Linked DNA regions of Notamacropus eugenii. The main gene of each other region encodes a partner of the protein of the gene in region 3 in a complex. Links are inferred from orthologs where the notes say so. Each region holds a gene or a part of one and is shown on either strand. Other genes may lie near its edges.

Region 1 (9,685 bases), on a different chromosome or scaffold from region 3:
AGATGGGGGAGGGAGGGAGAGCAGCTCTAAGCAAGGTTTTATGGTCCTACGAGATAGAGAGGAAAGGAGAGATAGGACAAAAAAGACAGCCAGAGGGCTACAATGAGACAGAGAAAGATGGGACAGAAAGTCCTGGATGGAGGAGGAGCTGACGCCTTTCCCCAGCCCACATGTTCTCCTCTTTCTCTCTCCTCCTGAGTGGGAGGATTCTGGAGGGAGCCTGGAATGCAGAAGCCCCCAGAGCCAGAGGCCCTGAACAAGGCAGCAAAGTCACCTCTGTAGACTTCCCCAAGTTTTCTGAAAAGGCAACATCCCCCTGGGCTTCCTCTCATGCAGGAGCCCACATTCAGGTGTGTTCACACCTACCTAGGTGAATACACCTCCCCCCATGTACATGTTCGCTGCCTGTAACACAGGGGATACTCCTCAGGTGCCTGGGCTGAAGGTTTGGGAGGTTTTTTTCCTTCTGTTACATAAAGTCTTATCTGCTCCAGCTCATCCAGGACATCTCAGGAGAGAGACAGAGAATGAAGAAGGGAAAGACAGATTTTAGGAGTGGATGAGGAAGAGTAGAAGGTAAGGAAGGGAGAGGAGAGGAGATGGGGGAGGAGGAAGAGAGATGGAGGGAGGAGAAGAGGGGAGAGACAAGGGAAAGGAGAAAGTGACACAAGACAGGTAGAAGACAAAAAAACGGGCGAGGGAGAAAGGAGAAAGGGGGTGTGAAGGAAGGAGAGAGAAAGGCAATTTCTCTCCAGCTGACTGAGCCCCCCCTCCCCCAGACATAGACCTGGGATCCCTGAGTACCTGCTTTCCCAGAAAGCACCTCCCTTGATCACTACAGCTCAGATAATGATTCTCTGTTCTATTGTTTGCTCTACCCAAGCCAGCCTGTTGTAACATCACACCTTGGGGTCCCCTGCCTGCTCCCTGGTTCTGTCCATTGTCATGCTGGGGCCTGACTGGCTCATGTATCTAAGCAACTCCAACTGTCCCATAACCCAATAGGCTGCTTTGTCCCAAGGGTCTGAGAACAGGCTGGATGAGCGTCCCTTAGGGAAACTTTAAAGGGGACTCCTGTCCTGAGTGGAACATTGGACTAAATCGTCCACAAAGTCCCTACTAAACAAGGATCTGTGATTCACGCATCCCAGAAAGACAATGGAGGGAGGCAGATAAAGGAAGAGGAAGAAGAGAGAGATAATGAGAGATAGGAAGGGAATTGAAGAGACAAAGTGAGAGACATTATGAGAGAGACAGGTGGAGGCAGGAAATAGAAACAGTAGGGTTTTCATAGGTGGGAAAGAAGAGGGGGGACCTGTGGAGGGGGTATGAGAGGGCCATAGAGTGAAACAGCCAGCCGTTCTGCAAAGGTGTCTTTGCTCTCACCCACTCTCTGCCCTGTTTCAGAGCCCTTGGTCTTTGCTTGGCCCTCCAAGCCTTCTTTTGGATTCCTGTGGCCTGCAGTTACTGCCTCCCCTCCCCCTTCTTCGACCTGAAGGTGTTGACCAGGCCTCATGGCAGATGACCTCTCCCTTCTCAGCAGTCACAGTACAGCTCCCTCCTGGTTCTCCTCCCCTCTCTGATTGCTACTTCTTGGTCTCCTTTGTGGGCTGCTCTTCCTCACATTTCTTATCAACAGTTCGAACCTTGAGGCTCAGCTGCGGCTTCAGTTATCACCTGCATTCAGAAGACTCCCCAACCTCCTGCACCCCTCACACTCTCTTCCCAAAACTGCAGCCCTGTCTCCACCCACCTCTGACCCTCTTCTGGGGGGCGAGGGAGCACAGGTCCTGATCTCCATCTCCTAACTCCTCTTTCTTTCAGAGACTCCAGCCCTTCCCAGACTCCCATCGTCCTTCATGGACTCTCCACTTATAAGATTAGTCACAAAGGGACCTCAGAGACCATCTCCTTCAATCCACTTGTTTTGCAGAGCAAGAAACTGAGGCCCAGAGAATGAGGTGACCTGTCTAAAGTCACACTGACCACTCCCAGATTTGAAAGCATGTCCTCAGAGGCCGCTGTTCAGTCATGTCTGACTTTCTGTGACCTCTTTTGGTGCTTTCTTGGCAGAAATATTCAAGCATTTTGCCTTCTTCAGCTCATTTTACAGAGGAGGAAACTGACTTGCTCAGGGTCACATAGCTAGTTAGTATCTGAAGCTAGATTTTAACTCAGACCTTCATGACTTCAGGCCTGGAGCTCCTTTGGCTTCCAGAGGTAGAGCATTTTGCAGGTCTAGGATAGTCAAGCTGGAGACTTCTGTCTCCATTCTCATTCTGCCCTTTCCCTCCTATCCACATTTGCTCATGCTGTCCCCTATGCCTAGAGCTCCTACTCCCCATCTCTAGGAAGGAAACCCTTCTTCCACTGAGGGCCAACTTGGACGATACCACTTCCATGAAATCTTCCTTGGCCTGCTTTGTCCACATCCCATGTGAAAACATCTTCTCTCTCCTCAGATTTCTCTGAGCACTTTGATCAGACCTCTCCTCCATACTTATCTCCCTTTCTCATTAATTGTGGTTATGTATAGATTTGTACTCTGTCCTCTACCCCTCCCCCCAAATTGTAAACCTCTAGAGGACAGGATCTATGTTGGGGTACCTTGGGCTGGAGTCCCTGGGGCAGAACTCTTTCTAAGGAACTTTTCCTTATGCTAAGCAAAAATCAGGATCCGGAAGCTCTCCTCTGATCCTGGTTCTGCCTTGGGGGAGCGGAGGCACCAAGTAGAACAAAGCTATTCCTTCTTCTCCAGGACAGGCCTCGGAATTCTGGAAAACAGGCTTCAGTTCCAAGCCCCTTTGGTCACACTCAGCATGGAATGCAAGAGGACAGAAGGGAGAGGATAGAAAGGAGAGAGAAGGGGAGAGACGAAGAGAGAAGAGGGAAAGGGGGAGAGAAAGGGGAGGAAAACGGAGAAAAGACAAAGGCACCAAAGGAAAAGAGGGCAAGAGTAAGGAGGAGATGGGGAGAAGAAGGGAGGGGGGTAGAGCCAAGGAAGAGGAAACTGAAGGGGAAGGGGGGAGGTGTCCCTACCAGCTCCAGTAGCCGTGAGGGTCTGGTACAAATTGCATGGCAAGCACTTCCTGAGGAGTTCATCAAAACACAGTGGAGGACATTTCCCGCTGGCCCCTCCAAACCCTTGCCCCACCATCCTTGACTGTCAGCCTGCAGCTGCAGCTACTCAGTTGCCCAGGAGGCTTTTGAAGGCAGGCAGGCTGGGAACCCAGGAAGGAGGGGGCGGGTTTGGGGGCAGCTTTCCCCTCCCTGGCCGGCTCTTTGCTTCAGAAGTCACCATGACCCTCCCCCATCCCCGACCGAGCAAGAACGTACCTGGGGCCCAGGGACCCTGACTGGCTGTACCCACACCTTCCTCAAGTCTCTGACTGTGTGTCACACTCTGTGTCCTCCTCCTCCATCCCTAGGGGCCCCTCACCATGGAGCCTAGCCTGCTGAGGTCAGCACAGGAAATTAGGAGGGCCTCCAAGTGAAGAAGCTTTGATGGCAAGTGAGCTCCTCATCCCTACAGGTGTTCAAGCACATTTAGAAGTGTTCTCCACCCTCGGTGAGCGGTTGGACCTGATGATCACTAAGAGATTTTTACGGAGAGAATCTCTTCTCTGACAGTCTATGATTGTCGGACCCCAAACAAGAACAAGAGAGGCAGGGAAGATCCAGTAAGGCAGAAAGGGAAGTGCAGAGAAAGACACAGAAAGAGGCTAAGAAAGAAACCCATCTGGAAACAGGAAGGAAAAGAGGAATGAAAGTTCTGTGGTCCTAGAGATAGCTTGACCAGAAACAGGAATCGTCTGGAGCAGAGATAAAGGCAAAGGCAGGGGAAAGGCAGAAAGGGTCAGACAGAGAGAGATAGAGAGACACAGAGAGAGAGACAGAGGCAGAAATAGAGACAGAAGAAGAGAAAGAAAGGAACAGTTGGAGAGATAGAGACAAGAAACAGAGAGAGAGAGAAAGAGAGACAGAGAGACAGACAGAAGGAGAGAGAAAGAAAAAGAGAGAGAGAGACAGAGAGACAGAGAGAGGAGGGAGAGAGAGACAGAGAGAGTGAGAGAGACAGAGAGAGTGAGAAAGAGAGACAGAGAGAGTGAGAAAGAGAGACAGAGAGAGAGAGAGGAGAGAGAGAGAGACAGACAGACAGACAGACAGACGGAGAGAGAAAGAAAAAGAGAGAGAGAAAGAGAGAGAGAGAGAGAGAGAGAGAGAGAGAGAGAGATGAATACAGAAAGAAACAGACAAAGGCAGTCAGAGCCCGAGATAGCATAGCTGACCTCTACTCCCTCACTCCTAGCCACACCAGGGACTCTGTTTGCACCCCCACCCCCACCCCCTACAGACATGGTGTTACCCAATCTCTTTCCTTTCTCTCTGCCTTCTCTCAACCTGGTCAGCTGATTACATCCTCCTTCCATATCAGCTCTGTCCAAGCAAAGAATCCTTTTCCGGGTCTTCACCTCCTGGACCTCTACAGCTTTCAACAGCTGATCATGTCCTAAATGGAAGGGTGTATAAGAGCCCAAGCAAGGCCCGATCTCTGGAGGGAGCGATTTGGGGTCTGAGTTCTCTCCCTTTGCTTCAGAGCTGCCTCTTGCTCCTGGTTCACCTCCTACCCCCCTAACTATTTCTCCTCTGCCTTTCCCCCTGGCTCCTTGTCAAAGGATCAGAAGGGAGATCCTGGGACTGGCCCCACTCCCTAAATGCGGGTGGGTGTCCCCCCAGGTTCTGTCCCCAGCCAGAGGCACAGCCACGAGGAGGTCTCCCAAGCTTGCCTACATCTCTACCTCTGACCTTGTAGTGAGCTCTCCGGGGACTCTGATCCTGAATGGTAAGAGGAGTGAGCATTTCTATGGGCTTTCAAGTTTGCAAAGTGATTTACAAGAATTATGTCTTTGGAGTTTGACAACCACCCTGAGAGGGAGGAGCTGCTATTATCCCCATTTGGGGATGTGGGTATGCTGTTCAACAAAGTAGACTGCAGCCCAGCCCTGACTGTCCATTCTGTTCTCCCATGGAGTCAGTGCAAGGGACCTTCCATTGTGCTGGGGCCCTCCCCAGGTTACATGAACCAGACTGTTGTCACCTCCTGCCCCCCAGCCCAGCTGTAGAGTAGGCACAATGAATACGCACTGCTGCAGCTATTTTTTACTAAGCCTGGGCGCCTCTTCCAGGAGGACATGTCCGTCACACTGCCCCCTCCCCCTTCCTTCTCTGACTCCCGTGGGAGCCTCTATCTTGCCTCCCCACCCAGGCCAGGCCATGGCCCATTGACTTGACACAGGAAGGTGCGTAGGCGTCCTGTCGCTGAGTGGGTAGGCTGGTAATCCAGAAGTGGGTTTGAGTTGGTGGGGGTGGGCGTAGCTGGGAGGGTGTGGGGGCTGGCAATGACTGAGGAGGTGATTTAGGAGGGAGGATGTGATGGAAGCTGGGCATGGACTGCTCATACCCTACTCCTCTCTGGCAGCCCCCGTAAGGAGGGTGAGAGAATCCTTCTCATTTGACAGGGGGAAACTGAGGCTCTGGGAGGTCAGTAACTGCTACAAGATCATCTATAGAGCTAGCATTTATAGAAAACTTTATGGTTTTCAGAGCACTTTAATACATTATCTCATTTGGTTTTCACCACAGCCCTGCAAAGTAGAAAAGTTCTTCTGTTGTCCCCATTTTACAGATGAGGAAACCAAGGCAGGCAGCAGTTACATGAGTTGGCCAGAGTCACATAGCCAGTGAGTGTCTGAAACAGAGTTCTAAATCAGGTCTTTCTGGCTCCGAATTCAGCTGCCTAAACACCAACCCACCCAGCCGGAAGTTCAAGCTTAGAGAAAAGCACAAAGTCCAGTCTTCATCTTCTAAGGGAGTGGCTGTCAACACAATAGGATCCTTGATGGAGCCTTGATGGTGAGCAGGGAGGGATCTCAGGAGTCATCTGGTCCAACCCCCTTGTTTACAGATGAGGAAACTGAGCCCATGGAGGGGAAGGGATTTGCCCAAAGTCAGAAGTGGCAGAGCCAGGGTTTGAACCAGCTTCTTGTCCACTGTGCCAGATGTCCACTTCCTTCACCATGCAGGTGAAGCCCATGGGGCCCAGAGAGGTTAGGGAATTTGGCCAACATCACGCAGCAAGGTGAGCAGAGCTAGAACCAGCTCCCAGGCCTCCTGAGCTCCCTTCAGTCCAGGGTTCATGCCTAGACATCATATTGACTTTTGGAGAATCTCAGTGGCCCAGGACAGAAGAGACCTTGCTACTGAAATGGGCGCCATTTCCAAAGAGAACTAGTGAGAAACAATGTGAGTGATATGGTCCAAGAGAGAAACTGAGAATTAAACATGGGGCCAGGAAGAGGCACTGAGACACAGGAGAGTGGCCAGGCGGGCAGGGGGCAGAGCTGTAGAGACATAGAGACAGTCACAGAGGAGAGTAAGATGAACATCTACAGCTCTCATTCATCTACCTATCCATCTAAGCCATCTATCTAGCAGTCTACCTATCTATCCATCCATCCTTCTGTTTTCTATCTATCCATCTCTCTCTAGCTATCTATTCATCTATCTATCCATTCATCCATCCATTTCTCTGTCCATCCGTCTGGCCAGCCAGTTAGTGAGACCTATTGAGACAAGAGCCTGGCAGAGACAGCAAACAGCACAATCATACACAGCCCCCCCACCCCCACTGCCCACCACCTACCACCCCCAATCGCTACACACACACCACACATTCCACACACACACAACATGCTACACCACACACACACCACACCACAATACATACACCACACACACAACACAACACACAACACAACACACACAACACATACACCACAACACATACAACACACAACACTACACACACCACACAACATACCACACACACCCCACCCCACACATACACCACACACACCACACCACATGTGCAACACACCACACACATACACACACCCCACACACACATATACCACACACAACACAACACACACACCACAACACACACTACACCACAACACACACACCACATATCACACACCACACACAATCTCACACACACCACAACACAACACACAACAGAACACACCACACACATCACACCACAACACAACACACACATACACCACAACACACACACACACCATACCATACACACATACAACACAACACAGACAACACAACACACTATATCATACACACACACACCACACACACCACCACACATACATATACCACACACACCGCAACACACACAACATACCACACATACATACACACACCACACACCACATCACACACACACATACCACACACAACACACGCACAACACACACATACACTGCAACACACACCACACATACACCACAACACACACAACATACCACACATACACACCACACATCACACACACACACTCTTATACACACACCATACCAAACCACAACACACCACACCACACACACACACACACACACACACACAGAGTGGGGTAGAGACTTGGTTCTGAGGTCAGGACCATCTCTGATTCCCTCCTCCCCTTCCGGAGCCAAGTCCCCTATCCCTGGGGGATCAAGTGAGGTTGGCAGAGGGGAAGGAGAAGCGATGTATTCAGCTTTCAAGCAAGGTGCCCATTTCCAAAGTTGTCCCCAGACCCTGCTGGCCTCCTGCAGGAAGTCCTGGCCCCCTTACCAGCTGTGCCTGCCATCCTACAATAAGGAGGGGAGGACATGAGGTTGAGGAGACAGAGACTCAGAAACTCAGCACTGACTGAGGTCATGAGATCCTAAATCCAGAACTGTAAGGAAGATTGGAGGTCATAGATTCCAACTCTTTCATTTTACTCTGAGGGTACTGAAGCCCAGAGAGCTGCCCAAGGTCATGGGTGGTGAGTGTCAGAGAACCCAAGTCTACTAATTCCTTTGAGAGCATCTAGGCGACCTCTTCATTTAGTAGGTGGGGAAACTGAGGACCTGTTCAAGGTCACTTAATAAGTCATTGTGAGAGCTGGGTCGAGTTAGATTCCTGGTCTCCTCCTTCCCATTCCAGGCAGAAAGCCTCTACCTGGGACCACGAAGGCTCTGGACAGAGAAAGGAGTGAGGACAAGGCTGGGCTAGGGCCCAGTGAGGCAGATCATGCCATTATCAGCCGAGCCTAGAAGAATCTGAAGTGGAACCAGGACGTCCCAGGCTAACTCCTGGTTCTGGCCATGGGGGGTAGGGTGAGAGAGGAAACTGAGCCCCAAGCCTGGAGGCTTGTCCTCACTCAGGTGGGACTGGGATAGAATCCATTTTAGCTTCTACAGTGGGGGAATGAGGAGCCAGCCCTGCAAGCTGGGGGTGGGGAGGGGGTCTGGGGCCAGAGATCCTGAGGTCAGACACCTCCTGAGGAGCTGAGCTAGGGGACGGCCACCAGCTCTGCACCACACACTGGTACCTCCTTTCTTTGGTATTCACAAAAAAATACATGTGGCCATGTATCTGTATGTGTATGTGTGTGTGCGTGTGTGTAATGTGTATATATGTGTGTGTATGTGTGTGTGTGTGTTTGCACACACAGACTAGTCATGCTCATCTGACATCAGTGTGTTGTATAACCTGAGTCCCAGGACCTTTCAAAAATATGAGGGTTTTCTAAGCCCCTGCTCCATCCCCTGTTCTAAGCTCCTGCCCAGCTGTGCTGTTCCCCATTCTAAAGTCCTTCATAGCTCTGAAATTCTAAGGGCTCTCCCAGCCTTCGCATTCTAGGACACTGTTTCTTTAGGAAATAATGAGATGTGTAACCTCATGTGGGATGGGGAGGGGCATGTAGGTGGACAACCAAGGACATGTGCACAGACCAAGGAAGTGGGCCCCTCTTCCACCTTTCGTTCACCTTCCCCCCCTTCCAAGGCCAGCCCCTAGGGAGGCCAGAGGCCTCAGGGGAATTTGGGCTCAGCCTACGAGCCTGCAAACAGAGCTGTTTTCTTTCAGGAAACACAGGCCCCTGAGAGCTCAGCCTTTCTTGGCAGGGTCTTGGGGAGTGGTACTGGGGAGGGAATTCTTGGTTCTCAGCAGCCCCAGCATCCATGTGCTTTCCCTCCAGGACCTTCTTGATGTGGCCAGGCCTCTCTTGGGGCCGAGGGTCCTGAGAGTGACGAGGTTTAGACCATGGCTCCTAAAAGTGGTAGAAAGCAGCCTTTTTCCTTCTTTTGGTTGCAGCTTTATTACACTTCATGTTATTTTTTTTTCCAATTACATGTAATTTTCAATATTCACTTTTAAAAACCATTTTTATTAAAAGTTCTGAGTTCCAAATTCTATCCCTTCCTTCCTCTCCCCTCTCTGAGACAGGAAGCAATCACATATAGGTTACACATGTACAACGATGTCAAACGTTTCCATATTCGTCACTTTGTACAAGAAGACTGATAAAAGAAAAGAAATGAAGGAAAATGAAAAGAGCCTCAGTCTGCTTTCAGTCAATATCAGCTCTTTCTTTGGAGACTGTCCGTATGCTCAAGTCTGAGTCCTTTGGAATTGTCTTGTATCATTGTATCAAAGAGTTGTCTCAAAGTTGATCATGGTATCATGTGGCTCTCATTGTGTCCAATGTTTTGGTTCTGTATCCCTTACTCAGCATCAGTTCGTGTAAGTCTTTCCAGGTTTTTCTGAAATCCACAGGGCAACTTCTTGACTCCTTGAGCGA
Region 2 (9,830 bases), on a different chromosome or scaffold from region 3:
ATCTCCAGAAGGAGGTTTCAAATCCTCCTCTCTGGAGTACTTTGACCATGAAGTATATTTGTCAACGCTGGGGTGTTCTTTAATGGAATGCTCTGAGGCTGTGGGAGCTGGTATTCTACATGTTTTATCCCTCTTCTCTGCCTGGGCCTCCTTCCTTAATGCCTTCAGATTTCTGGGTGTTCTCCTTTGCTAACCTAGGCTGGATCAAGGTACATGTTATAGTTTCTCTCTTTTATCCTTAATTATCATTCAGTTTTATCTTTTTATGTTGTACGTGTATGGGAATTAGGCTGTTCTGCTCCTCTTTACTCAGTTATCTTGGTGTTAAAAAAAGATAATCTCTAAAGGGAGAGAGTGCTAATTATTAGGTGGATCATGAAAAGCCTCATCTAGGAAGTTAGACCTGTTCTGTGTTTGAAGGAAGGTAGGGATTCTCAGTAGTCTATAAACATTTATTAAGAACCTACTATGTACTAGGCACTGGGCTAAGCGCTGGATTTTATGGGTAGATGTGTGAAAGGATCACATTCTAGACATGGTAGACCCCTTGTGCCAAGGAATGGAGATGGTAGATGGAATACTGCATACAAGGAATATCTTGTAAACTAGTTTGATTGGGTAGAGAGTGCACGAAGGGGAATAATATGAAACAAAAGAAAAAGTAGGTGGAAGTCATATTGTAAAATGCTTGAAGTATCAGGCTGGGTTAATTTTATGATTTTAGCAATATATACAGAATTTTAAAAAATAAGATACAACATCCATTCCTGTTTAAGAAACAAAACAGAACACTAGAAAGCATAGGAATAACATGACCTTTCCTTAATATGAAAAGCGGTAAAACTAACAGTCATAATATTTGTAATGGGGATAAACTAGATGCCTTTTCAATAAGATTTAAGGCAAAGTATAAGAGTGAGCACCCCAGCCTACACAGGGGGACCTGCTACCACAGGTTTGTAGATCTACATTCATAAAAGGAAAGACAGCTTCTGAGGGGCTAAAAATCACTTTAATTAAGACATGTATCATTCACCTAGGTCAGAGGAGTCAGCACCCTGAATTTCAAAGAAAATACAGAGAAATTAAAGCTCATCAGACATGGCTTCCTCTGCCTGACCATAATTCAAAAGACAGGCCCAACTGTCTGACCATAGTTACCAGAGACTGACATCTGGATTCTCAAAGGGGGTGGAGGGAGGGGAAGCCACTTTTCTTCAGCATTTTTTGGGGTCTCCTTTAGCAAGGTATTGACCCACTTTTCATGCTTTTCTTACATCTCTCTCATTTCTCTTCCCAGTTTTTCCTCCCCTTCTCTAACTTGATTTTCAAAATCCTTTTTGAGCTCTTTCATGGCCTGAGCCCATTGAATATTTATTCTGGATGTTTGGGATACTTTTATGTCTTTCCCTGATGGTAAGCATTGTTCTTCCTCATCAGAAAGGATGGGAGAAGATATCTGTTCACCCAGAAAGTAACCTTATATAGTCTTATTTTTTTTTCTCTTTTTTGGGCATTTTTCCCAACCAGTTACTTGACTTTTGGGTCCTTTGTCAAGAGCAGGGTATACTCTGGGAATCTGTAAGATCTCAGTTCCTCCAAGGTGGCACAATCAAGTGTGTACTGGTCTGGGTGTAGAGAGGGATTTTTGTGCCCAGAATCTTAGCAGTTACCTCTCCACAGCCACCTGGCCTCCTGTTCTGCCAAGTCAGCACTAGGGGCTGATTTTCAGATAAGCTGGATGGGCAGGGCTGCCATTCAGTGTGAGACAAAGACCAGCTCCCCCAGGGCCTCCACACAAGGCCGAAGCAAGAATCAGCTCCTCAGTGTCTGCAGGGTTTTTATGCTCCAACTATGGAGTCTGTTGCCGATGTGGCCTCTGCAGCAACTGCGTGAGGCCAGAGCTATGGAAGGCCCTTCTCCCTTCCTGGACAGCTGAAAAAACCCTGTCACTGACCTTTGGCACCTGTGGGTTGAGGGATCTGAGAACCCGCTGCTACTGGGACTGGGGATTCCGCAACTGGAGATTCTGCCACCAAGCGCTGTTTGAGGAGCTGTGCTCCACGTCTGGTGCAACAGACGTTTCCTGTGGGCCTTTCAGGTCACCCTGGGCTGGAAATCTCCTCCACTCTTTTGTTCTCCACTCCTGCTGCTCCAGAATTTGTTGAGAGCCTCTCTCCAGGTATTTTATGGGCTATGTGGGGAGAGCCTCTGTATCTGTGTCTTTCTACTCCACCATCTTGGCTCTGCCCCCCTGTATCTGTCTGTGGGTTTATTTTGTAACCTGCAAATTTACCAAAGTTTATTATTTCAAGTAATTTTTTACTTGATTCTCTGGGATTCTCTAAGTATATTATCATATCATCTGCAAAGAGTGATAACTTAGTTTCTTTGCCTAATCAAATTCCTTCAATTTCTTTTTCTTCTCTTATTGCTACAGTTAACATTTCTAGTACTATATTGAATAATAGTGGTGATAATGGACATCCTTGTTTCACTCCTGATCTTATTGGAAATGCATCTATCTTATCTCCATTGCATATAATGCTTGCTGAAGGTTTTAGGTAGGTACTGCTTATCTTTTTATTGAAAGTTCCATTTATTCCTATGCTCTCCAGTGTTTTCAATAGGAATGGGTGCTGTATTTTTTCAAAAGCTTTTTCTGCATCTACTGAAAGAATCATGTGGTTTCTGTTAGTTTTGTTGTTGATATGATCAATAAAGCTAATAGTTTTTCTAATATTGAAGCGGTCCTACATTCCTGGTATAAATCCTACCTGATCATAATGTATTATTCTTGTGAAAGTGACTGTATTCTTTTTGCTAGTATCTTATTCAAAATTTTTGCATCTATATTCGTTAGAGAAATTGGTCTATAATTTTCTTTCTCCGTTTCCCTCTTCCTGGTTTAGGTATCAGAACCATATTTGTATCATAAAAAGAATTTGGCAGGACTCCTTCTTTCCCAATTTTCTCAAATAGTCTATACAGTATTGGAATTAACTGTTCTTTAAATGTTTGACAGAATTTACTTGTAAATCCATCTGACCCTGGAGATTTTTTCCTAGGTAGTGTATTGATGGGTTATTCAATTTCTTTTTCTGAGATCGAGTTATTTAAGTATTCAACTTCCTCTTCTGTAAATCTAGACAATTTATGTTTTTTAAAATAACATCTATCTCATATAGATCGTCAAATTTATGGCATATAGTTGGGCAAAGCAGTTTCTTATTATTGTTTTAATTTCCTCCTCATTGGAAGTCTCATTTGTTCTTTATGATTATTATTCACATATCGTCAGCAATGGCTTGGCAATCTCATTTGCTATTTTTTCCCCCATACTCCAAGATGTAGTTCATCTGAATCTGGTGACTTTAACTTAAGGAAGGTACATAAAAACAACTTACTTTTGAAGGAGTTTCAATTCCCCTCTTCTTAATTACTTTTCTTTAAATCTTTCCAAATTGAAGATACATTCTTTAATACATAAAATACAAGCAAAATAAGATTTGAGTAGCTTTATTTAATTTTTTACAAGTTAAAGTTAAATTTAGAAGAGGCAGACATTTTCAGCAACAATTGTGATATAAAAACAGAGGATATCAATAAGATGTAACAAAGTCAACATCAAAAAAAGGCATGCTATTTTATAGTAGACAATGTTGAACTTGGATTTTTTTTTTGGTCTCTGTGTTAAAGACACATTAATAGAAATAGTTTATGAAAACCTTGTGAGATTCAAAAAAGATGTTTATAATAACTGAGGGTCATAACTATTTCTGAAAATGCCATTTTCCACTGAAAATATTATAGTTTGGGGAAAACAAGACATGATGAATTATTTTTGCAAATGTTTAGGGATTATACTATATTGAAGTATCTTAGCATGTCATATGCATTCTGTTACATAAAATATCAAATTGATAAAGAAATATAATTTGAGGGTAAGGCTCCATTGAGACCAGCTAGGTGGTATAGTGGATAGAGTGCTGGGCCTGAAATCAGGAAAACTCATCTTCCTGAGATCAAATCTGGCTTCAGCCACTTTCTAGCTATGTGATCCTGGGAAATTACTCTTTGCCTCAGTTTCCTCATCTGTAAAATGAGCTGGAGAAGGATATGGCAAACCCCTCAAGTATCTTTGCCAAAGAAACCTCAAATGGGGTCACAAAGAGTCAGACACAACTAAACAACAACTGAAGCTTTATTTTATCTTTGTTTGGGTATGTTTTCATATAGCTGCCCCTAAATTCAGTGACTTTTTTTGATTTAAAATGTTTTATGTTGATGTAATTTCTTAGAAACATCTTAGAGACAGGCATCTCAGAGACTCACTTTGAGATACAAGGTCAAATATCTATTGAATTGCCAAGGTTTATCTTGGTTTCCTGCTTAAACAATCTAACAAATTCAGGCTTAATTCCACATTTTTATTTCTAAGCCACAGATACACAGGAGTCAGTAGTGTATCACACCAATATTCTCTCTTTTCTGAGGATCTTACAGACCATAGGGGAGGGATTTAAACTCACTCCAGTACTAGACCAACTCACTAGTGGCAAATGGTTTGGTGATATTGGCTTTTATGGTCTAGCTTGTCTGCCTTCATGGAGTGGGGCATCCCTTGAACAGGACATGCTTTTTCTGCAGTGTCACAGCTGTTATTCATTCTCTTACATACTTCCCCACAAGTGTGACTTTCATAACCTGCTAGTGATCCTGTTTATTTTCTGTCACACAAATGAATATCTGTGAAGGTGAGAGATCTTTTTTGCTCCATAAGCCTACTACCATAGGCATTCAGAATCACCTTCCAGTGTTCCCTCACTCTCAACATTCATATTCAATCAGTCTCTGAAGGCTGGTGGAGATTAAAAAAGTCTGGAATTTAGCTCCAACTCTGACACTGAATTTAGCTGTGTGATGGTGGATACATCACTTAGCCTATTTAGGCTTCTGTTTCCTCATCTGTAAAATGGGGGTAATAACCTTTGCACTACCTTCTGCTAGGTGAGGCTTAGTGCTTTGTAAACTGCTAAGCATTATAAAAATGGAGGCTATAATTTTCATCCTCACGCCTCTCTTATTTCCACAATAACCATCCTAGTTTAAGCCTTTAATAATAATAGCTTACATTTATGTGGCATTTTAATGCTTACAAAGTGATTTCCAAATATTATCTCCTTTTATTCTCACAAAGACCCTGTGTGGTAGGTAGTAGAAATATTACTATTCTTTGTTTTAAGGATGGAGAATTAGAATATTAGACTGTTTAAGTGGCTTGTTTCTGGTCACAGAACTATTAAATATAGAGCAGTGGTATTCAAAGTATAGTATGTGGACCCATAATTGTACTAAGACATTATTTGCCTACTAAAATACTCCTCTCTTTCCCAACTATATATCTGTATGAGACTGGATTTTTTTCATATACTTCCATCAAAAAAATATAACATGATTATTTGAATAAAAAAACAAATATAAGAATCTAGCTGTCTTCTACATGAGAGATAGTTACATAAGTGTTTTTTAAAATTCTCATTTTCTTTTGTTTATAAAGTAGTTATTTTCATAAAATAGCTTATGTTAATGTTATTTTAAAAGAAAGAATAAAAATGTAAAATTATCAATTTTAATTTCTAATAAGGTAAATGTTCATAGAAATAACTCACATAAGCAAAAGTTCTTAGTGATCCTTAATAATTTTTAAGAGTATAAAGGAGTACTGAGATCAAATAAAACATAAAAGTTAGTTATTATTTTCAAAATACACCCAATATCAACACCCAACTCCATTGTCACTTGCTTTACCTCAACCAGGATATCACATTTACCTCATATTGTACTTAACACTACAATACATTGGAGTATCTGTGCATGTGCTTTGTGTCAATTGATAAATTGCAGGCTCTCTGAGGACAAGAACCCTGTCATGTATATATTTGTATTTTCCCGAATGCCAAGTATATTATATACATTTATAACACTTTCTCACAGTCTTTTGACACACAGTAGGTGATTAATAAATGCATGTTGAATGAATGAGTGAACAAAACCTTTAAACTGAACGTCTTCCTCTCCCTAACAACCCTCAGGATTATCTGCACCCTCCAAGTTCTACTTAATTCACCTGCTTGGGAAATAGCTTCTATAAATAAATAGTTTCTGTTTCATGAATGATTTACTTTTCATATTTACACTCCCTTAGTCTTGCCTCTAAGCTACCGCAAGTTAGGTTGCTTAGAAATTTGAATTTAGTTGGTATTCAAATCCTTAGCCACCAAGCCCCTAGTCTGAAAGGGAAAACCTCGTTAAAAAATAACCTCAGAACACAATGCACTATTTGATACTTAGCTGCTGTTGTTACTACATTTGTTAGGGGCAACTTGACAAGACTTTTCCTGTTCATTCTTATTTTTTTTTATGGTTCTCTAGTTTTGGGGGATACTGATACAGATGGCTCAAAAGTGCTTTCAAAATGAATATTTTGACAATTTGCTGTACACTTGCAAACCCTGTCACCTTCGATGTTCCAACACACCCCCTTTGGTGTGTCAGAGTTATTGTAATGCAAGTAAGTAATGGAATATTTCTCTTGCATTTATTTATTAGCTTGTTGTGCAGGTTCTGTATTTGTTCCAAGTAAAATATATAAGGAAGACAGTGACATTTTCTAAATAATGCATGATAATGACAGATTGCAATGATTAAATTGACAAAAATTATTCAAAACAGAACTGAATGCATTTATTCAATCTTATCAGTGCAATGTAGTTTATCAATTATTCAAACAGAGGGTTATTTAGATAATAGAAAGTCAATATTAATCAAGAAGAGAAATTTGAGAAATTATGTTATATTAAAATGGTGTTTGTGTTTTGTCTTGTCTTCATTATATCTGCCATTGTCTATCGATAAAGGTACTACCACTTCCTTGAAAATCACAGATGTGAGTATCTGGATCTGCACAGGTGTGGGAATAATTTCATCGTTGACAGTTTTCTTGTTAATACTTATCCTGAAGAAAATGATCCCTGAGAGATCAAAGGACGAATTGGAAAATACAGGTACAAAATGTTATGAATTTGATTTTAAATCTTTGAAATCAATCTTCATGAGATGGCAGCTGTAACTTTCAGTTTTTTCTTATTGTGTGTGTATAACTTTAGTATCTAAGTCATAAATCTTCTGAGTGCATTGGTGAATGAGTGAATTAGTTCAAATTCTGCAGATCAACATTCATTTCTACTGTATTCATTATGATGTTGACAGCACCCATGCCTTCCCCCCAAATCTTTCCATGAGGTATGACTATCAAAGAACAGAAGTATTTTTCAGAAAACATTGATATCTTTGCAAAGGTTGATTGATTAACTGATTAATGCTAACTAAGAGAAACTGTCAGCCCTATCCTTCAGTATCAGGAAAAATCTGACTGCATCTGTGAATGTATTTTTAATACAAATTTGAATGATTCACTTACGATAAAGTACTTAAGCCTTCACTGAGGAAGAATGTTCAAGTCAAGTTTTTCAGGCATTAGGCCTCCTTGGTCTAAGGTCTTCTAGTGAAGAGCTGGCAATAGAGTATTCATTGTCTCATTTAAGAACTCTTTATGAAAGAAATATTAAGGCTTAGGTTTCCATACCACCTCTGTCCATGACCTTATCCCTAAACATATCAGTCAGTTTCCCAACTTTTCTATTTAGGCTCTAATTTGTGAAAAACATCCATCTTTTTATTTATAATAGAACTAGAGAAGTGAGACATCTGTTCCACTTACTTCTTTTACTTTCATTGCCCAGAGGTCTTTCGGACAGGTAGGGTATAGTGTTTTATGAGGTTGTTAGTTTTTTAAAAATTTTAATAGAATTACTTTAGGAGAATGTCATGGAAAGTATTAAGACTTTTCTTCACATGTATACAATGTATGCATATATACAATATAATGGAAACTTTTTTACATTACATTCTCAATTCAGATTCCTTTAAAGAAAATTCATTAACTTAAAAAATGTAGACCAAATGAATATCAGCTTGTCTCTAGCTCCAAATTTTGAAGTCACTTATAGGGCACTCATGACATTGTGTAATATATGGTTACAGAGGATTCTGTCCTTGTTAAGAGTTTAAGGCCTACTGTGCAAAGACCACTTTGTGGAAAGATGTGCCTCTCAGTGATATCATAGCTTCATTGTCAAAACCTAAGACCTTTTATACTTAGATTTAAGGCAAAACTTTTAGAGCAACAGATGGATAATGCTGTACTTGTTTATATCTTTTCAGAGCCAAAAGCTGAGCTACAGGAGACTGCAAAAGTTGATCTTGATAGGAGTGAAAATAATGAAGCTGGAACTCTCCCTAGAAGCAGCACTTCTATGACATACATAGTAGAAGCATGCAAGTGTGAAGACTGTAATCTAGGCTCCGATATATCCTTCCCACTCCCAGCCATGGAAGAAGGAGCAACTGTTCTTGTCACCACAAAAACAAATTACTTTTGCAAGAGTTCACCAGTTTCCATGAATGACACTTTCATGGGGATATGGAAATCTATTTTCACCACATAATGATCTAGTTTGACTGGGATAGTGCCATTTGTAAAGTTTATGTCAGTGAACAGAGCAATGCATCTCATCCCTTTATAATAGTTGCTGTCATCTGTCATCAAGATAACTCTTTTTCATTTTAGAATCTTTCTTGATTTATTTCTCTATGTTTTGGTTGAGAGTCAACTATAAAAACCTTCTCCACTTCATTATTGCATTCTCTATTCATTAAGAAAAAGGAGTGATGTGTCAGTTTCAAAGTTTCTTATTTTTATATTTGCATATTTACTCAATATTCACTTATATAGTAGAGAAATAAACTGACCATCTCAGGACAGGTTTAAAGTTGTATTCATTGCTAAAGGAAATGAGGGACTGAAAAAATAGGAAATGCCTAAGATCATTTCAACATTAAAAGAGGACAGAAATTATTTTAGAAGACTTTAACGAACTTTTCCTTCAGATGGAGAGTTCATACACACATTAACAAGGCAAAATGGAAACAAGTGAAAATTGATAAATTGCAACACATATAGAGAGGTTCAAGGTACTATAAGAATTATGGCAGCCAGGTTAAAATTTAGATTTTTGTTTTGAGGTTTAGGATGTAGTGATCCTCTTTCATTCATTTACAGATCCCTTCATTTAAGAGAGCAGCTTTATCATACAATGGGAAGATGAAATCCTTCTCATATGGCAGCAAATGTTTTATTTATCCCACCTGTTGTCTGTAATGAAGCAGAAACTGTGGTAATTCAATATATTTTCAAATTAATTGTGAAAGTGTGCTGGTCAAGGAATTATCTATTAAAGTTTCCTGACTCTTCCTCTCCCAGTGAATGCAGTGGTAACATCTTTTGTTCTTGCAATTCAAGTGTTGATGAATTTTACCTGTCATGTAAATATGAATTATGTATTCCCTTTTCTGTTTTTGTGCCTGTTAAAATATTAAGTCATTTTGAGATCTGTGGTTTCTTCTTACATTGTAAGAGGTGCCTTTCATTCCTGGCTGAATTTGTTATGACAACTAAGTTTGATATTCTACTGGCTTTTCCCTGACAGTATCTTTGTAGTTTCTGGGAGGTGGACTGACTTGAAGGTAGAGGTGGGGCTACAAGGAAGAGGTTTTAGCTGGAATGAAGATTGGCTTGCTGATGGAGATCAAGTGTTTTTTATGAGTTTTAGGGACTTCTTGATCTATGGCTTTCAAACTTTCCAAGTTCATACACCATGGTGCAAAAAATTCAACAACTTCAATCACTCTTGATTAATTACTTATGT
Region 3 (9,900 bases):
TCATATTGCCATTATTACATACTCTTTCACACTGTAGAGACTTCTGAAAAATTAGCCCATTACTGGTATCTTGACCTCAAAATGGGTTCAAAAAGTCCCTGAACGTGTGAAGAAATATTAGTCATTAAATCTGTTACTTCCAACCAAATGAATGGCATAGACATGTACAACTTCTCTTTTGACTGACTTGACTTAAAGAAAATGTTCATCTTGTCTCTTGGCTCTTTATATTCTTAAAATGTCAAGCTTAACAATAACAGGGTTCAGAAAAAATATGGTTGCTAGGTCATGGCTGTCAATTGCATATTCCACTCTGAAAAACAGAGCAGATGTTTGTCTCTTGCAACACTGGAGACCAAGTTTCTGATCTTCTGATGAAGACAAAAATCCCTTCAGGGACAAATTTTGGCCAGAGGGTATAGTGTCAATAGCCAGCTGGCTCTCCGCTATAGCTTTTGTGTGAACTGATAGAAAAGAGGCTCATGATTTTTTTCCATGTAGGCAGGAATATGGGACCCGTTGCTACTCTTAAAACTTTATGTTGCACTCTCCCATTACACTTCTTTGGGATCTTTAGGATCTCTTCTCACTATACAGTTTACCCAAAAATAAATATGGAAAGAGAAGCTAGCTACAGAAAATAAATCGTGTACTGCTTGGATATCTAAGGACAAAGACTCAGGTAAGTAGGACTGGAGGGTTGGGCAGTCAAGTCCTCACCTAAAAAGAAACGATGCTGCCTACCTGCCTTTGCTACTACAGAAGGCAGTTTGCACTAGTAAGCTACTAAGAGTCAAACTCTAGATATGTTCATGGGTTTAAGCATGAAATTAATTTGAGCAACTTTGTGGTTATTTGGCACCTCTTTTATACTGGATTTCCCCACATTTCTGTTTGATTTTATCCAGAAACAATCTTGTGAAATACTTTGAACCCAGCTAAGTCTTTAATTTGAAAGGTTAAAAAATGATTAAGAAAAATATTGCCATTGAAGAATGAAAAAGAGATAAAACTCCAATTCACCAGAATTATAACTGAAGGAATGCCTTAAAGAAGGTGTTTCTGCGGCCATTGTACTCAAAGTTTCAGGGAGCTATCATCCTAGGCTCACCACCACAACCAAAAGGCATTCCTAGCTAAAACTTTGTGGCAGTCCTCTTATGTTTTTCAATCAGCTGTAATAAATATGAACTTTTAATATTTCATAAAATGTTTTCTGGTTAAATTCAAACTGAGAAATCAGAAGAAATTCAGAAGAAATACAATGTCAAGTAACCTCAAACTCATTCAAATCACTATCACTTTAAAGTTCCTATTGAATCAATCACTAAACATTCGTTTACTGTGTACTATGTACAAGTGACTCTAGTAGGTAGTGTAGAAGAACCAAGTTTTAACCTTCTCCCTTTCTCCTTCCTTCTTCCTGGAGCTTCTGATTGGATTCTATTGGTAAACAGGCAATACACATACAAATGTAACCAAGAGTGAAAAATACAATGTCATTAAGTGCCAAATGAGTATGACTTGTAAAAATGATAAATGGTAAAAGTTCAGGGTAAGGGAAGATTTATAATGATCTAGGGTGTTCAGGAAATGCCCCACAAAGAAGATATATTTTAAATTTGGACTTGAAAGCTTGATTGCATTTTATGAGCACATCTTTAAAAAGGGAATCACTGGGGTTTTAATAAAAAATGTGACCACAACCATTACATTTGAAGTCATACTTTGTCAACTCTAAAACATAAATTCCTGAATTATTGTAAAGAATTTTTCTGATCATGGGCAAATGATGGCTAAATGCAAAACGGTATAATTAATCTCTCAGATAAGGCATTGTATCTCTCTGGGCCTGTTTTCTCTTACGTTAAATTATACTGGATTTCACTTAATGGAAAGGATTCTAAGGTCATCTCTAAGACCCTGTGAGGCTGTAAGCCATTCTAGTAAATGCCTCATGGTTAGAAAAGATTAACTGACAGAAAAATAGAGACTGAACGTCTTATTACATTGGATTAGGGAACTCCCAGATGAGGGAACTCTGTCTATGAATGCAGGAAGGTATCTTCACTCTAAATAATAGCCTTAGAGAGTTGTTTAAAAACTAAGAGGTTAAGTGACTTTTACAGAATTGCATAGTCAGTACGTGTCAGACACAGGAGAAAATTCAGAGGCCAGATCTCTATCCATTTTGACACTTTGCCTCTCTAAGATAAGAAGATGTTTAAAAATTAAGGACTCCATGAAGAATTACTTTAAAAAGACTAGCAGTACATTCAGCTTTCATTGGAGAAACCATTAAAAATGTCTTAGGAGAAGCATTAAGATTAAAACAGTACACCTGTTTGGATATAAAGTATCACAAAATGGCGCATGGAGAGATGAGTATGTTTAGCCAACTCTCTGTCTCAGATAGGCACATTCTAATAATAGAGAGATGAAAGCATCTGAATGAAAGAATGAAAAACAAAACATTTATTAAGGGTTTTCTATGTGCCAAGCACTGTGTCTAGCATTGAGTATATATATAAATACAAAAGTAGAAACAGTCCCTAATTTGATTGTGGTTCCAGAATTGGAAAAGGGATAGGAAAGGGTGTGGTTTTATTAGGTGAGTCATGAGCAATGCTTCTGACAAAGTGGCCTTTATTTTATTTGAAGATTAAATAAACTGCTCCCTTTATCTCAAGCCCAGGTGAATTATTCCACCAATGAAATCTGTTATTTAGAAACATTAAAATACTGACTAGGTTATTGCAATCACCAAGAAGAGCTAATAGTAAAATAGTAAAAGAGGTTTTTTCCTTCCCTTCCACCATTCCCCCAGATGATTCCAGGGCCCTTGAAGACTGACTCTTAAATGTCTTCTTCATTACAACCTGCAACAAGTGAAGCAATCCTCGTAAAGGGCTCCCTTGTTTTAGCAACATAGCTGGTCAGGTTTTGTTTGCAGCTAGAAAATATGATCAGAGATCCAGGAAGGAAAATGAATTCACCTAATTTTCTCCAGTTTGTGCTATGGGTATATGCCCCAGTTGGGAAGTTTCTGAAACACTGCTTCCCCTCAACTTACTAGTTTCCCCTGAGTCCGGAACACCTCTTCTGCTTCTTCTGCTTTGTCTAAGGCTGATTTGGGGACTGCTTTCTCCTGTGATAGGGGGTACCCCAAGCTCCTGTTAATGGAAAAGACCCAGGTTATTTAAAAAAACAAAACTAAGCAGAAGTAAAAGAAATAGGAAGCATGAGAGCCCTGTAACCAGGGCTAGGCAGCTTCTTGGTAACTCACTTGTAGTCCTGTGATGGTAGCAGCTTCTGACTGGAGAATAGTAGGGTGTGTTCCTGCTTTCTCCTTCTGCAGGCCCTGAAGTTGCTCAGCCCTGCTCTGATAAGCCTGAAGTTCATGCCGGAGACTCCCCAACTCAGCCTGCAGGGTGAACACTTGGTACAATGAGACCAGTGCCAGGCCACCGGAGAGAAGCGTCAGTAGCAGAGTGGCTGACAGGAGCCCTCTTCTAGCTTGCCATGCAGAGCTTCTTCCCTGAGGAAGGGTGGGTGTACAATCCAGGAGTTTCATTTCTTCTCTTTTCTTAAGGCCAGAAGTGAAGAAGTAAATCTTAACTGCTCCTCTTTCTCTGTCGTCATCCATTTCTCTATTTGAACTTTGAGAGTTAGAGAAGGCAGAATAAGTGACCACATGGAATGGATCATTTCCTGTTAGCCTTGTTTGCTGATGTCCAGCACCGAGGGGATCTTAGAGCCTGTCTTGCCTCATCAGGAGGCCTCTCCTGAATTTTCTTCCTTCCTCTGCTATGCATCTCTCTAGTTACCATAGAATAGGTTTTTACTGGCGTTCCCTCTTTTATTTTATTGCACAATCAGCCTTCCTCTTTTCACTTTCAGTTTTTGTTATATGTTTTTATTGGCATCTCTCAAACTTCCAGGAGCAAATGGGCTCCCATAGCCCTTCTTTCTTAGATACAGCTTTGACCTTTGACTAAGAGGTCTATCAGGGGAAATGTTTTAGGTTCCAAAATAACAGATTAGTGTGTTTAAGTAGCCATATATGAAACCTTTATTAGACTATCTCTGGTTGGGCTCTGTCTACTTTAAGATAGATGAGGCTAAACTGGGACGAGTCCAAGGCAGGGCAATAAAACTAATGAATGATTAGGTGGGGTCAGCTAAATAAAGTACAGGGTCATTTTCTTGGGGGAATGATTCAAAAATAATCTGAAGCACTAAAACAGATGAAGGGTCATCATGTGAGAAATGATCATCAGCAGTTTTGATTCCATCTAACAGCATAAGTAGAAATGTTGAAAGATAGATTTGGGTTAGTTGTGGGGGGGGGCAGGGAGAGGGAGGGATCCAATATCCAGTATCCAATAATGAACATTTCCTGTAGGCTTCTGCATAAATTACTAATGGAGACATACTGAAGCTCTTTAGGAACAAGACACAATCACCTACTTGGAACAGATTCTTCATTGCTTTCCACATACACTATGTTCAGTGCCACCTCTACCCCTTCTCTTGTGCTGTTCTGCATCCTTTCCATTCTGGGGATTCCCTTTTCTCCTGGATGCCTATTCAAATCCTATCCATCTTTCCAAGTTGAACTCCAGGAAAACTTTCCAAATCACAGGATAAAAGAATCACAGACTAGGAATCAATGCCAAAAAAAACCCAGCAGCAGCAATAACAAAAACATCTTCAAACAACAAATATTTATTAAGCACCTGCTATATGTTGAGGCCTGGGCTACATGCTGTAGATACAGACACAAAGAATGAAATAGTTGGTATACACAAGGGGCCTACATTCTAATGGAAGAGACAAGTATATATAAAAATGCATATGACACAAATATGAAGAAAATTAAGAAGTTGTTTGTTGGTCATCAGGATAACTAATGTAAAGACCCCAAGAAAGGAAATGAAGTTTCCTGTATGAATAATATAGAGAATGCCAATTTGTCTGTTGTCTGGATCAGAGTGTAGGAGGAGAAATACCCTATGAATCTGGAAAGATAGATTGGGACCAGGTTCTATAGTGCTTTAAAAACTAACTTGATTTATATTTTATCTTAGAAGCAACAAGAAACCTGGAGTTGATTGGTTGATCAAGAAAATCACAGAATCAGATCCATGTTTTAAGAAAATTACTTTGGCATCAATGTATAGGATTGACTGCATTGGTGAGACACTGCGAATTGCAATTAGCAATAATCTAGATGAAAAAGACTTGATCTAAGACAGTAGTTGTGTGAATAGAGAGAAGGGATTGAATGTGAGAAATATTGTGAAGGCATAAATGGCAAAAATCATCAAATTTTTGAATATATAAGGCATGGAACAGTGAAGAGTCGAGGGCAAGGCTGAAGTTATGGACCGGGAAGTCTTGAAGGATGGTCTGTGTCTTTGACAGAAATAACAAATTTTGGAAGAGAAGAAGGTTGAGGGGAAAGAAAATGAGTTCAGTTTTAGGAATAGTGAGTTTAAGATATCGATGGGATATTGCATTTGAAATGTCTAATAAGCAAGTGGTGATGCAAGACTGGAGTTCAGGAGAAAGACCAGGGATGGATAGGTAGATCTAGGAGTCATCTACATAGAGATAATTGTCAAATTCAGGGGAGTTTATGCAGACATAAACATATTAGACATATTAGAGACAGAGAGATAGAGACAGAGAAACAGAGAGAGAGGGAAAGACAGAAAGAGTGAAAGACAGAGAGACAGTGAGAGAGGTAGAGACAGACAGAGACAGACAGATAGACAGACAGACACAGAAAGACACAGAGAGAAGCAGAGAAAAGAGAGACCAAGACAGAATGACAGACAGAGACAGAAATAGAGAGACAAAGACAGAGAGAGGAGAGGAGAGGAGAGGAGAGGAGAGGAGAGGAGAGGAGAGGAGACGAGAAGAGAGGAGAGGAGAGGAGAGGAGAGGAGAGGAGAGGAGAGGAGAGGAGAGGAGAGAAGAGATCCTAAGGCAAAGCTTTGGGGACCACCTTCAGTTAGAAGGTGTGATATGGATGGTGATACATCAAAGAATGAGAAAGAGTAGTTAGACAGAAAGGAGGTGACCAGAACAGAATAGTGTCATGCAAACTCAGAGAACAAAGAGTAGCCAGGAGAAGAGGATGATTGATAGTATAAAATATAGCGGAGCAGACAAGAAGAACTGGTGCTGAGAAAAGACAAACATATTTGGCAATAAAGAGAGTAGTTTGAGTTGAGTAATGAGATTGAAAATCATATATATACATATATATATGTATATATATATATGTATATGTATATTATATATATATATATATATATATATATATATATATACACACATATATATATATATATATATATACACACATATATATATGTTCTTATTTTGGTCCTTCGTTTTCAAAGAAAACCATGACATCAGAGAAATGATGACACGACTTGCACTTGACTTTGTTTAGAGTGTTCTGAAGGACACAGAAGATGTTCATATATATATGTGGGGGATGGGGAGGAAAGACTTGGGCAGGTTGGAATGTTTCAGGGAAGGAATCAGTTGATAGGGATAGGCTGAAGACCTGAAAGAATGAATATATTGAGAATGCAATCTGATGGAGAAGACAATTAATGAATGTAATCAAATATACATGTAAAGAGGTAAACCTTGACAAGAAGGGACACCCTTTTGTCAGAGACCAGGGAGAAGAAGAAGTGGAACATGATGTCAAAGGGTTTTGAGATGAAGTGACCTCAAATGCCATTTAGGCCAACTTATATGTGAAAAAAATCCTTTACAACATACCCGACAAAGTATTCAGTACCTTGAATTCTTTGCTTAAAGATTTCCAGTAAGGGGGAATCCAGCATTTCCCAAGGCAGCTGATCCCACTTTCAGACACCTATAATTGTCAGGAGCTTTCTCATTACAGCTCCCTAAATTTGTATCTTTATAACTTCTACTAATTACTCCTAGTGCCAATTTCTGCGCCAAGTGAAATAAGTGTAATTCTCCTTCCATGTGACCTTTTTAAGATTCACATTCAAGAGCCAAGATGGCAGACTAAAGGTAGGAACTCACCAGAACTCACTCATCTTCCCCTCTGAATAACTTTAAAATAATGCTTCAAATCAACTTAGGAGGTTGTGGAAAGGTCTGTCCCACCAGCATAGTGGTCAGGCCTTGAGCACAGTGCAGTGCAGGCCATTTCTTGACAAGGCAACAGCAGGCCTCAAAAGTAGCTGAAGCAGCAGCAGCAGTGGCAGCTTTGGAAACTCCTAGACGGTAAAGTGGTCAGAAAACTGATTAGGAGATTACAGGGGCCTCTTTGCTGGCACTGGTGCAGGATCCTGTTGTAGTGCCCATGCACAGTTCCAAGTCACAGTCCCAGAACAAAAAAAGGATACTCACATATGCAGCTACAGGAGAATAGAGACCCTGATCACAGTTCCAGGGCAGAGAAGAATAATTGTAGTCACTCACAAGGGAGCAAGGATGCTGGTCTTAGCTCCAAGGCTGAAAAAAGTACTAACATGGCCACAGGAGAGCAGGATTCCCAGTTACATTTCCAGAACCATAAAGTAGGAGAGCACTTGCAGTCACAGAGGAACAGGAATACTGGTAACAATTCCGGAGAAGAGAAGGGTACTTTTAGTTCTTACAGGACAGAGTATAGACCAGAAGATCACACCATTTTGGGAGAACTGAAAACTTATAGACTATAAAAACTAGCTCTGAAAACAGCAGTGTGAAAAACCTGAAGACAATGGCCATTCCACTCCAGGAGCAAAGTCCAACTTTAACATAATGTTAAGAGTCAATAAATAGGGTAGAAAAAGAGCAAACAATTTAAAAATAACCTGACCACAGAAAGTTACTATGGTGACATGGAAGATTAAGAAACAAATTCAGAAATCAACCAAGTCAAAATAATTACATACAAAACTTCAAAGAAAAGTGTAAATTGGACACAAATCCAACAAGAATTCTTGGAAGAGTTCGAAATAAGAGAGGTAGAAGAAACATTCAGAAAAGAAATGAGAGTGGTGCAAGAAAATTGTAAAAAGAAAGTAGAGCTTGGTAAAAGAGACACAAAAATACTGAGAAAAAAATAAACACCTCAAAAAATAGCATTGGCCAAATGGTAAAAGAAGCATTAAAATCCACTGAGGAGAACAACTCCTTAAAAAGCAAAATCGACCAAATGGAAAAATAATTGGTGTAAAAATTCACCAAGAAAAGGAACTCCTTAAAAAGTAGAATTGGTCAAATAGAAAAGGAGGCACAAAAGCTCATTGAAGAAATTAATTCCTTAAAAATTAGAATTGGGAAACTGTAAGTAAATGACTTTATGAGACATTAAGAAACAATATAACAAAGCCAAAGGGGAAAAATAGGAGAAAAATGTAAAATGTTTCATCAGAAAAATAACAGATATGGAAAATAGACTGAGGAAAGATAATTTAACAATTGTTAGACTACCTAAAAGATATCATCAAAGAAAAGAACCTAGAGATTATGTTTCAAGAAATTACCCTGATTGCTTAAAATCAGAGGGTAAACTGAAATTGAAAGAATTCATTGATCTCCTAAAAGAGATACCAAAATGAAAACTCCCAGGAATATTATAGCCAAATTTTAGAACTCCCAGGTCAAGGAGAAAATATTGAAAGTAACCAGAAAGAAACAATTTAAAATTCAGTGGAACTTTAGTCAAGCTAACACAAGATTTAGCAGCTTCTACATTAAAGGGGGAAGGACTTGGAATATGATATTCCAGAAGGCAAAAGTACTAGGATTAAAATCAATAATAACCTACCCAGAAAAAACTGATCATAATCCTTTAGTGAGAAAACATACATTTAATGAAACAGAGAACTTTCCAGCATTCCTGATGAAAAAAACCAGACCGAAATAGAAAAATCTGACTTTCAAATAAAAGAGTTAAGAGAAGCATTAAAAGAGAAATCATTAGGGATTCAACAAGGTTAAATTGTTTACATTCCTTTACGGGAATATGATATTATAACTCCTAAGAACTTAGTTATTATAGTTAGAAGAAGTATACATATAGAGAGGGCAAGGGTACGAGTTGATTAAGATGGGATGATTTTTTTTTAAAGGGGGGCTGAGAAAGAAGAATGCACTGGGAGGAGAAAGGGAAAGGTACAATGAGATAAATTTATCACATAAAAGAGGGACAAAAGAAAGCTTTTATAGTGGAGAAGAAGATGGGGGTGTAGCAGGTAATGCTTGAACCTTACTCTTCTCAGAATTGGTTCAAAGAAGAAATAACATACACACTCAGTTGGGTATAGAATTCTATTTAACCCTATGGGAAAGTAGGAGAGAAAGGGGATGGTGGGTGGTGGAATTACTGATAGAAGGAAGGATAGATTAAGGAGGCAGTGGTCAGAGGCAAAACAGAGGAAGGATAGGATGTGTGTGTGTGTGTGTGTGTGTGTGTGTGTATGACAGAGAGAGAGAGAGAGAGAGAGAGAGAGAGAGAGAGAGAGAGAGAGAGAGAGAGAGAGAGAGAGAGAGAGAGAGAGAGAGACCAGTAGGGGAGGGAAGAGGTTAGAGGAAAATAACCAGTTAGTGAAAGTGAATGGAATGAACTCACCCATAAAATGGAAGTGGACAGCAGAATAGACTAAAAAAACCAGAATCCTAAAAAATGTCATTTATAAGAAGCACATTTGAAACAAAGAGACACACACAGGGTAAGAAACAAAACAAACAACCAAAAGAAACAAAGGCAGGAGCAAAATTTCTTATGTTTCAGCTGAATTTTAAAAAAGGCAGAGGTAGCAATTTCTTTCAGACAAAGCAAAAGCAAAAACAGAGCTAATTAAAAGAGATAAACAGGAAAACCACATGATGCTAAAAATGCCATAG

Evidence for each region.
Region 1: the proteins of TNFSF13B (region 3) and TNFRSF13C are in contact, whole or in part, in a crystal structure (PDB 1OQE), measured with the Homo sapiens proteins. The link is inferred for Notamacropus eugenii from reciprocal best matches to the Homo sapiens genes TNFSF13B and TNFRSF13C. Residues at the interface, in NP_006564.1 of Homo sapiens: Ser162, Tyr163, Asp203, Thr205, Tyr206, Ala207, Met208, Gly209, His210, Leu211, Thr228, Arg231, Cys232, Ile233, Pro264, Arg265, Glu266, Asn267, Ala268; in NP_443177.1 of Homo sapiens: Asp26, Leu27, Leu28, Val29, Arg30, Val33, Leu37, Leu38, Arg39, Pro41, Arg42.
Region 2: the proteins of TNFSF13B (region 3) and TNFRSF17 are in contact, whole or in part, in a crystal structure (PDB 1OQD), measured with the Homo sapiens proteins. The link is inferred for Notamacropus eugenii from reciprocal best matches to the Homo sapiens genes TNFSF13B and TNFRSF17. Residues at the interface, in NP_006564.1 of Homo sapiens: Ser162, Tyr163, Lys204, Thr205, Tyr206, Ala207, Met208, Gly209, His210, Arg231, Cys232, Ile233, Glu238, Pro264, Arg265, Glu266, Asn267; in NP_001183.2 of Homo sapiens: Tyr13, Asp15, Ser16, Leu17, Leu18, His19, Ile22, Arg27, Ser29, Ser30, Asn31, Thr32, Pro33, Pro34, Leu35.

What each region holds. Positions count from the first base shown.
Region 1 is NC_092874.1:300,935,103-300,944,787, forward strand, and holds the start of TNFRSF13C (tumor necrosis factor receptor superfamily member 13C), read right to left. Parts: upstream 3,668-9,685; 5' UTR 3,158-3,667; coding exon 3,040-3,157; intron 1-3,039. UniProt on the Homo sapiens protein: B-cell receptor specific for TNFSF13B/TALL1/BAFF/BLyS. Promotes the survival of mature B-cells and the B-cell response.
Region 2 is NC_092872.1:95,273,647-95,283,476, reverse strand, and holds TNFRSF17 (tumor necrosis factor receptor superfamily member 17), read left to right. Parts: upstream 1-6,105; 5' UTR 6,106-6,456; coding exon 6,457-6,574; intron 6,575-6,920; coding exon 6,921-7,067; intron 7,068-8,286; coding exon 8,287-8,570; 3' UTR 8,571-9,511; downstream 9,512-9,830. UniProt on the Homo sapiens protein: Receptor for TNFSF13B/BLyS/BAFF and TNFSF13/APRIL. Promotes B-cell survival and plays a role in the regulation of humoral immunity. Activates NF-kappa-B and JNK.
Region 3 is NC_092877.1:215,029,840-215,039,739, forward strand, and holds the start of TNFSF13B (tumor necrosis factor ligand superfamily member 13B), read right to left. Parts: upstream 3,746-9,900; 5' UTR 3,647-3,745; coding exon 3,287-3,646; intron 3,174-3,286; coding exon 3,074-3,173; intron 1-3,073. UniProt on the Homo sapiens protein: Cytokine that binds to TNFRSF13B/TACI and TNFRSF17/BCMA. TNFSF13/APRIL binds to the same 2 receptors. Together, they form a 2 ligands -2 receptors pathway involved in the stimulation of B- and T-cell function and the regulation of humoral immunity.